Bombyx mori: one gene and its partner. The protein of the gene in region 2 purifies or fractionates together with the protein of the main gene of each other region. This does not show direct contact. Links are inferred from orthologs where the notes say so. Each region holds a gene or a part of one and is shown on either strand. Other genes may lie near its edges.

Region 1 (5,505 bases), on a different chromosome or scaffold from region 2:
GGATCAGTACAGAGCTGCAGAGGACTGTGTCTGTAGTAGTGTAGTATAGGACTAGAGGCTAGATGTAGGTCGGATCTGTGTCTGTTTGTATACGAGAAGAGCTCGGGATCAGTACAGAGCTGCAGAGGACTGTGTCTGTAGTAGTGTAGTATAGGACTAGAGGCTAGATGTAGGTCGGATCTGTGTCTGTTTGTATACGAGAAGAGCTCGGGATCAGTACAGAGCTGCAGAGGACTGTGTCTGTAGTAGTGTAGTATAGGACTAGAGGCTAGATGTAGGTCGGATCTGTGTCTGTTTGTGTACGAGAAGAGCTCGGGATCAGTACAGAGCTGCAGAGGACTGTGTCTGTAGTAGTGTAGTATAGGACTAGAGGCTAGATGTAGGTCGGATCTGTGTCTGTTTGTATACGAGAAGAGCTCGGGATCAGTACAGAGCTGCAGAGGACTGTGTCTGTAGTAGTGTAGTATAGGACTAGAGGCTAGATGTAGGTCGGATCTGTGTCTGTTTGTATACGAGAAGAGCTCGGGATCAGTACAGAGCTGCAGAAGACTGCGTCTGTAGTAGTGTAGTGTAGAACTCTCGATGCATACCGTAATTGATTTAAAGGCCTTCTTCGCTGATGCTTTGGTGATGTCGAAGAGCTTGATGCAGTTATCCCTTGATGCCGACACTAAGATCTGTTCTCGGGGATGAAAATCGAGCGCTGTAATTTCATCAGTGTGGTCGTATCTGCGTAAAAATATATATTGCTTAGATGGGTGGACAAGCTCACAGCCCACCTGGTGTTAAGTGGTTACTGGAGCCTCTAGAGATCTATAACGTAAATGCGCCACCCACCTTGAGATATAATCTCTAAGGTCTCAGTGTAGTTACAACGGCTGCCCCGCCCTTCAAACCGAAACGCATTACTGATTCACGGCAGGAATAGGCGGGGTGGTGGTACTTACCCGCGCGGACTTACAAGAGGTCCTACCACCAGTAATTACGCAAATTATAATATTGCGGGTTGAATCTCCTAGTCATGATTGTTCTTATGGCGACCTTAATCTAACAATATCGCGCGCCAATCGTGGTTTCGGGGACGCAGCTTTGAGACTGACTCCTCAATATTTCTGTTGAGCCTTCAGAATTTTAGTTTTATAGGAAAAATGGAAATCGGCACGTTAGACTTTAAGTGGCTCTTAGCAAGGCCGCTTTAAGGTACAGCTATAATTGCCTCATCGTCTAAGTTAGTAACATCGCCATCAGCTTTCCTCAGTAAGCTCCCCTGACTTTTGAGTACTTGAAGAAAGCGCCGATAGTATCTAAGATACGATTGAGCCTTGAAACCCGACCCATTACTCACAGGGTTCTGATGCCGATTAAGCCTTGAATTGAAAGCCCATTCATTGCTCACAGGGTTCCGATGACGATTGAGCCTTGAATTGAAAGCCCATTACTCACAGGGTTCTGATGACGATTAAGCCTTGAATTGAAAGCCCATTACTCACAGGGTTCTGATGACGGGATGCCCCTGTTGCTCCCTCCCTTGCTCCACCTCCTCGGGAGCTGATTTCGCGAGCATCCTCTCCACATCTAAAATCTGGTAAAATGACGCCAATAGAATTCAGAATCCATCTCTTTAACCAAGTCTATGAGTATCGGATATTTTTGTTTCGATACCTGTTCGTTGGTAACCTAAGGGACTATTTCAGCTACGCGCGGGTAGGTGAGCTCACGGGCTCAACCTGAAAGAGCATGCTAACACTAGCACTAGTCAGAGTAGTACTTCGCAGAATCCACCACCGGATCGGAAACGCGCCCCACTGAGAAGATCCGGCGAGAAACTCAGTGGCCTGCATCTATAGGTTAGGGTTTCAGATCTTCACCCTCCTTTAATACGGAGTATTAAAGTTTAACGGTAGGCGGCGGCCAGGCTCTGCCCCTGGCATCACTGAAGTCCATGGGCGACGGTAACCACTCGCCATCAGGTGGGCCGTATGTTCTTCTGCCCAAAAGGGCAATAAAATAAATAAAAGAGGTTTTTAAGGTTTACCGTGACGCTCCATAGATGGCGCCACTGATTTTCTAAATTGCGTTGGGATTATGTTGCAAGATATTATAAAAAAAAACCGTGAGCACACATAGGTCCACGCAAGTAAGTCGCTAGCGCATAGTTATATACAAATTGTGGATTTAGAATAAGATTGTAAAAAAAAATTAAGAGAGAGACAGAGAGTGAGAGAGAAGGAGAAAGAGAGACGGCATTCTTTTTTTTGCACATCAAAACACAATTATGATTGAAAAATTAGTCAAAAAGGCAAATACTGTACTGTACTTATACTTAGTCTTTTGATTAAATTATATTGGCAATTTTTTTTTTATTTCTTCTTTTTCTTCTTTGTCTCCACCTTATCCCACTAGGTGGAGTCGGCACAGCAATTTTTTCTCTTCCATTCTCTTCTATAAGCCGTCAACTCAACACTCACTCCTCTCTCTCTCTCATATCGTCATTCACACACTCCATCCATGTCTTCTTCGGTCGACCCCCTCTACCTTGCACTACCATTTCAGATATTTATTTATTATAATCGATTAGGACAGCGTTAATTTTTTCTTACTTTAAATACTTGCAAATGATATGGTATTTATTATATATACAGTCAAACCTGGATAAGTGAGAACTGGATAAGTGAGAAAACTCTATAAGTGAGAGTAATAGCCAGGACCCGTCATTTTAAGCTCCCAAAACCTCTATTAGAGAGAAACAGAAACCTCTGTAAGAGAGAGTCGTTTTTCCCTCATGGACCTCCGTAAGTGAGACTGCTACTTATCTATACCTCTATAGGCGAGAGTCGAGGAGGATGGATTTAGGAGGAACAAATGAAAAAACAAATTACAAGTTTAACATCTGTTATTTTATGACTCATTGTTAACTTTTGTGGAACTTTCTACCATATTTTTTGAATTGTTTTCTCGTCAATATTGAACCTATTCTATTTCGTGGAACTAAATAACGTTGTTATTTTATCGCTTTCTTTTCGAATGGACACGTGTGCCTGTGTACCGTCCTGTTTGTCGGACTTACTCAGTTTATCGTTAATCAATTGCAAAGAAAAGTTCTGTTCTGCATCATGTCAAAACGGAAAATTAAAGTAGTGAATGCGTTTGAATCCGTAAACCGCGAAATAAAATTCAGAGGGAGCATTAGCGAGAAACTCGGGTTAGTGAGAAACCTCTTTAAACGAGAATGAGATTGTGCTCCCTTGAACTCTCTCTTATCCAGGTTTGACTGTATATATCATGAACCAAGATCCAAGTTTGTCTGTAAGTCGTTAAGCGCCTTTCAGAGTCTCACCTTGATACTGGCATCGACACTGCCAGTGGCCACCAGCTGTCCGCAGTGGCTGAAGGCTCCAGCCCGGCAAGACATCTTGTGCGAAGTCACGTATGCCGTCTCATACGTGGCCGGCTCAGGGGCCAGGGAGGAAGCGTCCATTTCGTACTCCAAGTCTTTGGAAGTTCGAAAAGCCATAATCAGGATTTTTTTTTTATTGGTTAGATGGGTGGACGAGCTCACGGCCCACCTGATGTTAATTGGTTACCGGGGCCCATAGACATCTATAACTTCAATGTGCCACCCACCTTGAGATAAGTTTTAAGGTATCAAGTATAGTCACAACGGCTGCCCCACCCTTCAAGCCGAAACGCATTACTGCTTCACGGCAGAAATAGGCAGGGCGGTGGTACCTACCCGTGCGGACTCACAAGAGGTCCTACCACCATAATGTGTGTGTAATGACTAACTGCTGCAGTAGCAATGAAGCACCTAATGAAGCACCTAAAGGAGAAAGCACTAATTTAGGAGGCCTTCGACAGCAATAGTAAAAAAAAACTCACCAAAACCGGTTGTGCCCAAAAGATGCTCGGCAGCATTCGATGCAGCCAGCCTATCTTTCCTGTCTGGCTCATGCTGTAGGCCCACCATCATGACATTGAGCAACCTGCAATAAAACACGCTTGATTCATCAGCCCCAAATCTTCTATATAAATAAATAAAATTGGAGACACTCCAATTATGTATAGATTTACAAAATGACCTAGTTAGATTAAACCAAATTAACAGCTGTTGACTAAATCGGTAGTTATTATCGACATCACCATAATTAACTAGGTCACAGCACTACCGCATTCCTCAGGATGGACATGAACTCGCGCGCCTACTGTAACTATGTAAGGCTCTCTGCCATCTGCCAAGAATGTGTTATGAGCTTCTTGGGACACATCATGAAGTCTCCCAGACATGAATTAGAGAATATCTTAATTTTAGCCCGCATAGAAGGCAAGCGCGCCGTGGGCATAACACCAGACCGATGGTCAGATCTGGTTAAGAGAGAGGTTGGTGGTAGTCTAATACCGCGCGGTCCATGCCACCCATGACCGAACAATATGGAGAAGAGAAAAGAAAACATGTGGTCGCTGATGATAGGACCTCTTGTGAGTCCGCGCGGGTAGGTACCACCGCCCTGCTTATTTCTGCCGTGAAGCAGTAATGCGTTTCGGTTTGAAGGGTGGGGCAGCCGTTATAACTATACTTGAGACCTTAGAACTTATATCTCAAGGTAGGTGGCGCATTTACGCTGTAGATGTCTATGGGCTCCAGTAACCGCTTAACACCAGGTGTGCTGTGAGCTCGTCCACCCATCTAAGCAATAAAGAAAAATTCCTTAGCAGTGAGAGAACAATAAAGAAGAAGATGTTGTATATGAGGCAGCTAGGTCCTGTCTATTTTAGACTGTTAGTAACTGTAGACTGATTATTTTATCGATACCTGTCGCTGGGAGGACACGGAGGGTCAGCGTGTACGGCTGCTGCCAACGTCGCAGCTATGGGCTGGTAGCCGTCATAGTACAATTGGCTGTAAAAGAACATACAAGCTTTCATAAGTAGAACTGGTTATCGGCACTGGGATAAACACAAAGGACAATATGACTTCTGGGTAAGCTGATGGTCTGAATGTTGTTTTTTTTCTCCTACCTAAGCTGAGAGCCATGAAAGGCTATTTCAGCGTAACCTTAACTAGTAGGTAAGCTCACGGGGCTGACGACGTTGCTAACACGAACCTTAGCAAGAGCCGAGCTTCGCATAAACTACCACCGGATAGGGAACGCGACCCACTGAGAAGATCCGGCGAGCAACTCAGTGGGCTGTGTCTCTGGGTTAATTTACTCGTCGAGCCCTTCGTCGCAAGCGACGGGTTCGGCGAGAACGATGACCGGTCCTTGAGGTGAATATTGTTGTTCGCAACTTGTATATATGTAAGATTATCTTGAAAATGTCATTAGCGCAATTCAGGCGTCTGTCAAATATCTTGTGTCGTATGATGGCCACCCGCCATCATGTACAAATGTAATTCTGAAGGTACTTCACCCAGTTATATGCTATTATGGGAACAAAATTAGGGCTGGTAGATACAACCTAGGAATGCAACAAAAATTGTTAATACTTGTATTTACATACAAGTGT
Region 2 (5,605 bases):
CAATATTGCAAACAAGCACATAATGATGTAAGTTATAATTTTTAGTAACTTAACGAGTTGTGATGTGAAAAATTAATACTTGGTCCCCAACATGTTAAAAGAAATATAATAATGTATGTACCTGTAGTTTCAAGAAATATACAGCGCAGCGTAATATGTGTCACACGAGAACATTGACCCCACGCGTCATTTAATTTGTTATTGTGTTAAGGGCGTCACACACGGCGAAGATACTATAATATTTTATCTTAACATGCAATATCGCTCGCCATACATTTCGTATGAACTATCAAATGTATATTATCTTAACCATGTGTTCATACAAAATGTTGATTATATTACAGTATCTTCGCCGTGCGTGACGCCCTTTAGGTACACTGAGTGCCATACATAAAACCTGCGAATCTCTATGCTATCTAGTCAGCTATCACCTAATATTGTCACCTCTCATAGTTTTTTTTTTTATTGCCAAGAATCTTGGCCTTGGTTGAATTTAAATCCTTTTGTTAGACTGCAAACGAAAGCAATTAAAAAAAAAAAAAAAAATATCATACCAGTGAATGACCTTGTTCCATCTCGGAGTCTTCCCGCCGCTCGGATCAGTGTGAGTCTCGTATATACAATGTCCAACACGCACACGAACATACGGGTCCATACGAGTTAGTCCTATGTTCATATTTCAAGGAGGATCATTCAATATTGATATATGATCACTTTTGGTACTAATAGTTTACTGTATTCTGCACTCCAAATGGTCTTTTTACAAGGCAAACAGTTACTTTAGAATAACAGTTAAAGTCGCTTTTAAGACGGAATGCAAGATTGTTTTGCAGTAGAAAGAAAATCAAATCAGTAAAACGGAGGAATTAGGTAAGAGATAAAAAATTAGGGCATGAATGACTTCTCAAACGGAATACAAGGTTAAAATAAAAATGTTGCTTGTTTCTTAAGCAAATACTGAGATAGTTTAGAGAATCCATGTTGATTTATAAATATGGATGTAGTACACTTAACTTATCGACTCTGCGTCTTTTAAAAGAAAAAAAGGTTGATTAGTTTATTTTGTGAATTTTTAAGTCTAATTCAATTTGATTATAATCAAACTTTATGCAAGCAACAAAGCACTTTACACATCTCTAATATGAGTCAAAAGTAGTCACAGCTTATCTTAGATATCACAAACAAAAGAAAAAAATTCATTGAGATATCCTATTTTGATAAGAAGATTAGCAGAACCATATTCAATTTAAAAAAAACGCATGTAGAATATGTGCTTTCTGATCTTGATTATTGGTGTAAGATTTAAATAAATCATGCATACATATGTGCATATGCTATTGTGGTAAATGTAATAAACATTGGCCAAATTTGGACCTATAAATTTTTATCACTTCAAAAAATACTTACCATAATTTTTAACAAGCTTAGCTTGAGCTATAGTGACACTTAGTCTCGCTGTCATTGGAGGGCCACTTTGTGGTACCTGAGAAACATTTCATCCATTATAATTAGCTTTACATATTGAAGGAAAATTTTATTACTACATAGTTGAACAAAGGGCTCATAGCCTGATGTGATAGATAAGTTACAGAAGCCTACGTACATGACAAAATTTATATAGTCATCCACCATCTTGAGGAAAAGGTTTGAAGACTTATCTTTTTTCAATTCTATTGTATTGCCTGTCCTCACTAACTCACCAATAACACTAAATTCACCTAAACACTAATAAAATTCTGCAATGAAATTAAATAATTAAATCAAATGAGTACAGTTTATCACCATTATATTTACAGCTCCAAGTAGACAGATGATCAATCTGAACATGATTGCCACTACCTTGAGACCAAAAGAGCTAAAGTGGTTGAATAGCACTCAAAGCTGACATAGCTTCACAAGGCTTTCAGCTTAAATAGGAAATAAAGCACGCTAAAAAGTCAACTGAAACTATAACCAACAGCATCTGTTTTCTATAGTATAGGTACAGTTGTGATCATACTATATATTGTTTTGAAACTTTTCAATATTAGTAAAAATCAGATTAAGTATTTATTTCATAAATTAGTAACTTTTTTTACAAATATCATCAATTATAGATTCTATAATTTCAAAAACATGTTTTATAAAAGGGTATGAACTCAATACTCCTGAGTTATGACTTAAAAAAACCTCTCCCATAGGCCATTGTGACATCTTAAAACTATAAATATATAAATTAAGTTATGTTTCTATCAAAAAACTATGTAGTTCATTCTAAATTAAAAATAAAGAATCTACATACTGCAGCACCATATAGCTGTTGTTGTAAAGCAAGTGCAGCTTCATAATCAGAGTCCACACCGTCAGAAGTAGCATCAGCACGAAGAAAACCTGCTGGAAGAGGACCTAGCAGTACCTATAGTGATTGAAATTCATGGTTTTGAAAACAATATTAAAGTACTGGCTGAAGTAGATTACAAATATTGTTAATTTTTATATGTCAAGTTAAGTAATCCATTTAAGCCATAGCTGCTTTTCTTTCTTTTTATCAGTTTTTATTAAACATATCTTTAGCATATTTTTTTAATTACCATAATTTTAACTAATTTGCAATATCTAGTCAAACTGTACTTTTAGATGGTCGTTATACTTTCTTTGTTGTCGGAAAAAATACTTGCTAGCTCGAGAAATTTCGATGGAAATTAGATCATATTCAGTTTAAATGAAATCATTGAAAACATTAAATATTAGAACCGGTTACAAAACTTGTTTATTAACGTCCAACAGACTATAAAATTCTTTAAATAATCTTATAGAGATCATCATTGTATATTTATTCATATTATGTAGTTGGGTACTTACTCTACGACGACGTTCTTCATTTGTATCATTAGGCATTGTTGAAGTCATGGTGATTGGTGCGTAAAGTTGATATATTAACGCCTTATTCAGTATTAAGTATTTGAATAATATATTGTTACTAATTTAATGATCAGCGTAATTAATGCGAAAAACAGAATAATAGTCAATATCCAACAAAATGAAAACAATATGTCAGTGTCAGTGAAAGTTGGCAAGCAGCTGTCACTGTCACAAACTTTTCCAATTGGAAAAGCAAAGGTGTACAACCTACCTAATCTTTTATATTTATAAATATTATTTTTAAATGAATTAAGTTAATATGAAGTGAAATGAAATGAAGTTGATTAATGTGAAACGTGGTATTAAAATGAAATGAAATGAGATAAGAAGATATGAGTTGGGGTATGAAAATGGTTGTCATTTACTGACACTTTTTCAGTGTACTTTTTGGAGGACGGTGAGAAGTTACGTCCAGCGGTAGTAGTTTAATATCAGCAAAAGTGCACAAGTGTACATAAAATGTATTTTTCTAAATAGTTCACTTAAGCGTTCACGAAACATTTCATAGTAATAATGATTTAAAGGTAGTTTAGTTAAGATAAGATAGATTGAAACTGTAGGGTTAACTTAGTAAAATCTATAATATTCACATTTCCGAAGTGCGACGCTACAGTAACCTGTTCTTTCTGCGTGAGCATGGATATCATACAAAATAAATAAGATGTATGAGGGCAACAAAAGCAGTGAGCAAAAATAATAGGTTTCATGCCGTAACTTTTGTAAATGAAGGCCTTCTGTTCTATGAAAAGTTGAACAAAACTAAATGCAAATCAAATAAAGCTTTATTAGTTATAAGTTATATTAGTTATAAGACTATTAGTCTCAGTAAAAAGGTGTGAATATACTGAGAGTTTCAATGGATTTTTTGGAAGAGAGGTGACTAAAAAGACCACTACCACATCTAGATAGAAAAATTTCAAGCAATTTGGAGGAAGTCTAAGAATAAAAGGAAGAAAGAAAAATGACAGAGAAAAAAATTGGAAAGAAGAAATAAATAAAAAAAAAATCTATAAAAACTGATTGAGACAATAATTTAAATACTACATATTTAGATAAGTGTCTGACAAGCCAAATCAAGCGTTCTGCTTCTTTTTCGCACATTCGTGTACTTTCAGAGATGGAAAACGGCTCCTATATCATAATTATTGTACGATTACGCCGAACAAACGCAAACTCAACAAATAAAACAATTTCAACAACGTTACGCCTTTCCCGCCAAGTCCAAACAAATACAAGTACAAATTACAAATCTACGTCGCTCATAAGTCCTATAACTACAATCTATGGAGCCCCGAACTAGCTTCCTTCCTATTAACCCTACTCTTTGAAACTGAATGGCAGTAAACAACGGACGAGTATTAAGGTCTATGACAAGTAAACACTAAACCACCACTAAACATTAATTTGCTCTTTGAAGTAAACGGAAATCTGTCACTATTTGTGCCAATTTATGGAGTGGACTAACGAGTCTGGTTTATATTTTCTAACAAAATGCATCGTTTGATTATTAAATTAGTTGAGTGTAAAATTAACAGTTAAGATTTTTTGTAATTAGAGTGCCTTGTGTTTACGTCACAAAGTGAACTGATAAAGGTTGATTAGGTATCGATTTTAGTCAACAGCTGCAATGGATATCAACATCACCCCAAAGGTTAGTAAATTACAAGGTATTTAAATAAATACTTTCTGTGTTTTTTCAGCGTAAGGACTATTTGCATTCGCCAACCATATCATTTATATTATTTGATTATCTTTGTCACAACTGTTAAAATGAAACAAGTTATAAAGTAGAAAAAATAATGAAAATTAAAATTATGTGTATAACTTACTAGAACATATTATTAGCATATTTTAAACTTATGTTTTAATTAGTTTACACTTCCAAATAAACAGACTCCTTAAAACTAGTGACTAGGTACACATCTAACAATATCAAAACATTGCTTACTGGCAAGTCAAATCAATCAAATTGACAAAACAAATTTTTATATAGGATATCTATGTTTTGCATGTAATTTAAATATTTGGAAATCTTTAATCTTCAAAAAGATTTTAATATTGTTAATTTTGTTATTTTTTTTTGTGAGTTATTGTGGTCTAGTTACAACACTAAGCAAGGTGTGAGTACTTCTTCCATCTAAGCCAATGAATTTTACTTCATGCCAGCACAACTGATGAAAACAAATAAAAATTGGACTCATATTAAAAATATAATACAATCTGAAAATATAGTGTATAATGGTTGGTACTTCAGGGACTGAGTTCTTTTAGGCATGTTTTTACTTATTACATGAGGGATTTTCCCATATCGACGCTTGAAAGGCAAATGTGACTAAGCGACAATAACTGCTTTGTACATAAATGATAGGAAATAACCATATTCGATGCGCAAAAAAAAAATTCTAGGTCTATTAAAATAATTTCAATCCTGCGGCTAGATTTGTTAAAATAGATTTTTTTTCCGGTATTTCAACTTTAAATTAGTCTACTGTAAAGTTGACGCATTGTCGCTTAGTCACGTTTGCCTTTCAAGAGTCGATATACATATTCAATATAGACTACAGGGGTCTTTAAAGTGAAAGGATTCTGCATTATAATAGTCTGGTGTCATGTAATAGGTTGTTAATCAGAAGATAAGGACATGGCATTCGGCCCTGCAAGTACTAAATAGTTCTATTATCTTAAGTGAAAGATCAGAAAGGTC

The links.
Region 1: the proteins of toll-interacting protein (region 2) and cleavage stimulation factor subunit 1 purify together in Homo sapiens (co-immunoprecipitation; 3 studies listed by BioGRID and IntAct, with this or other methods). This does not show direct contact. The link is inferred for Bombyx mori from reciprocal best matches to the Homo sapiens genes TOLLIP and CSTF1.

The regions. Positions count from the first base shown.
Region 1 is NC_085130.1:10,339,380-10,344,884, reverse strand, and holds part of cleavage stimulation factor subunit 1, read right to left. Parts: intron 4,898-5,505; coding exon 4,811-4,897; intron 3,984-4,810; coding exon 3,880-3,983; intron 3,493-3,879; coding exon 3,338-3,492; intron 1,583-3,337; coding exon 1,491-1,582; intron 730-1,490; coding exon 591-729; intron 1-590. UniProt on the Homo sapiens protein: One of the multiple factors required for polyadenylation and 3'-end cleavage of mammalian pre-mRNAs. May be responsible for the interaction of CSTF with other factors to form a stable complex on the pre-mRNA.
Region 2 is NC_085120.1:7,056,052-7,061,656, forward strand, and holds the start of toll-interacting protein, read right to left. Parts: upstream 3,074-5,605; 5' UTR 2,890-3,073; coding exon 2,842-2,889; intron 2,396-2,841; coding exon 2,282-2,395; intron 1,484-2,281; coding exon 1,408-1,483; intron 667-1,407; coding exon 555-666; intron 1-554. UniProt on the Homo sapiens protein: Component of the signaling pathway of IL-1 and Toll-like receptors. Inhibits cell activation by microbial products. Recruits IRAK1 to the IL-1 receptor complex. Inhibits IRAK1 phosphorylation and kinase activity.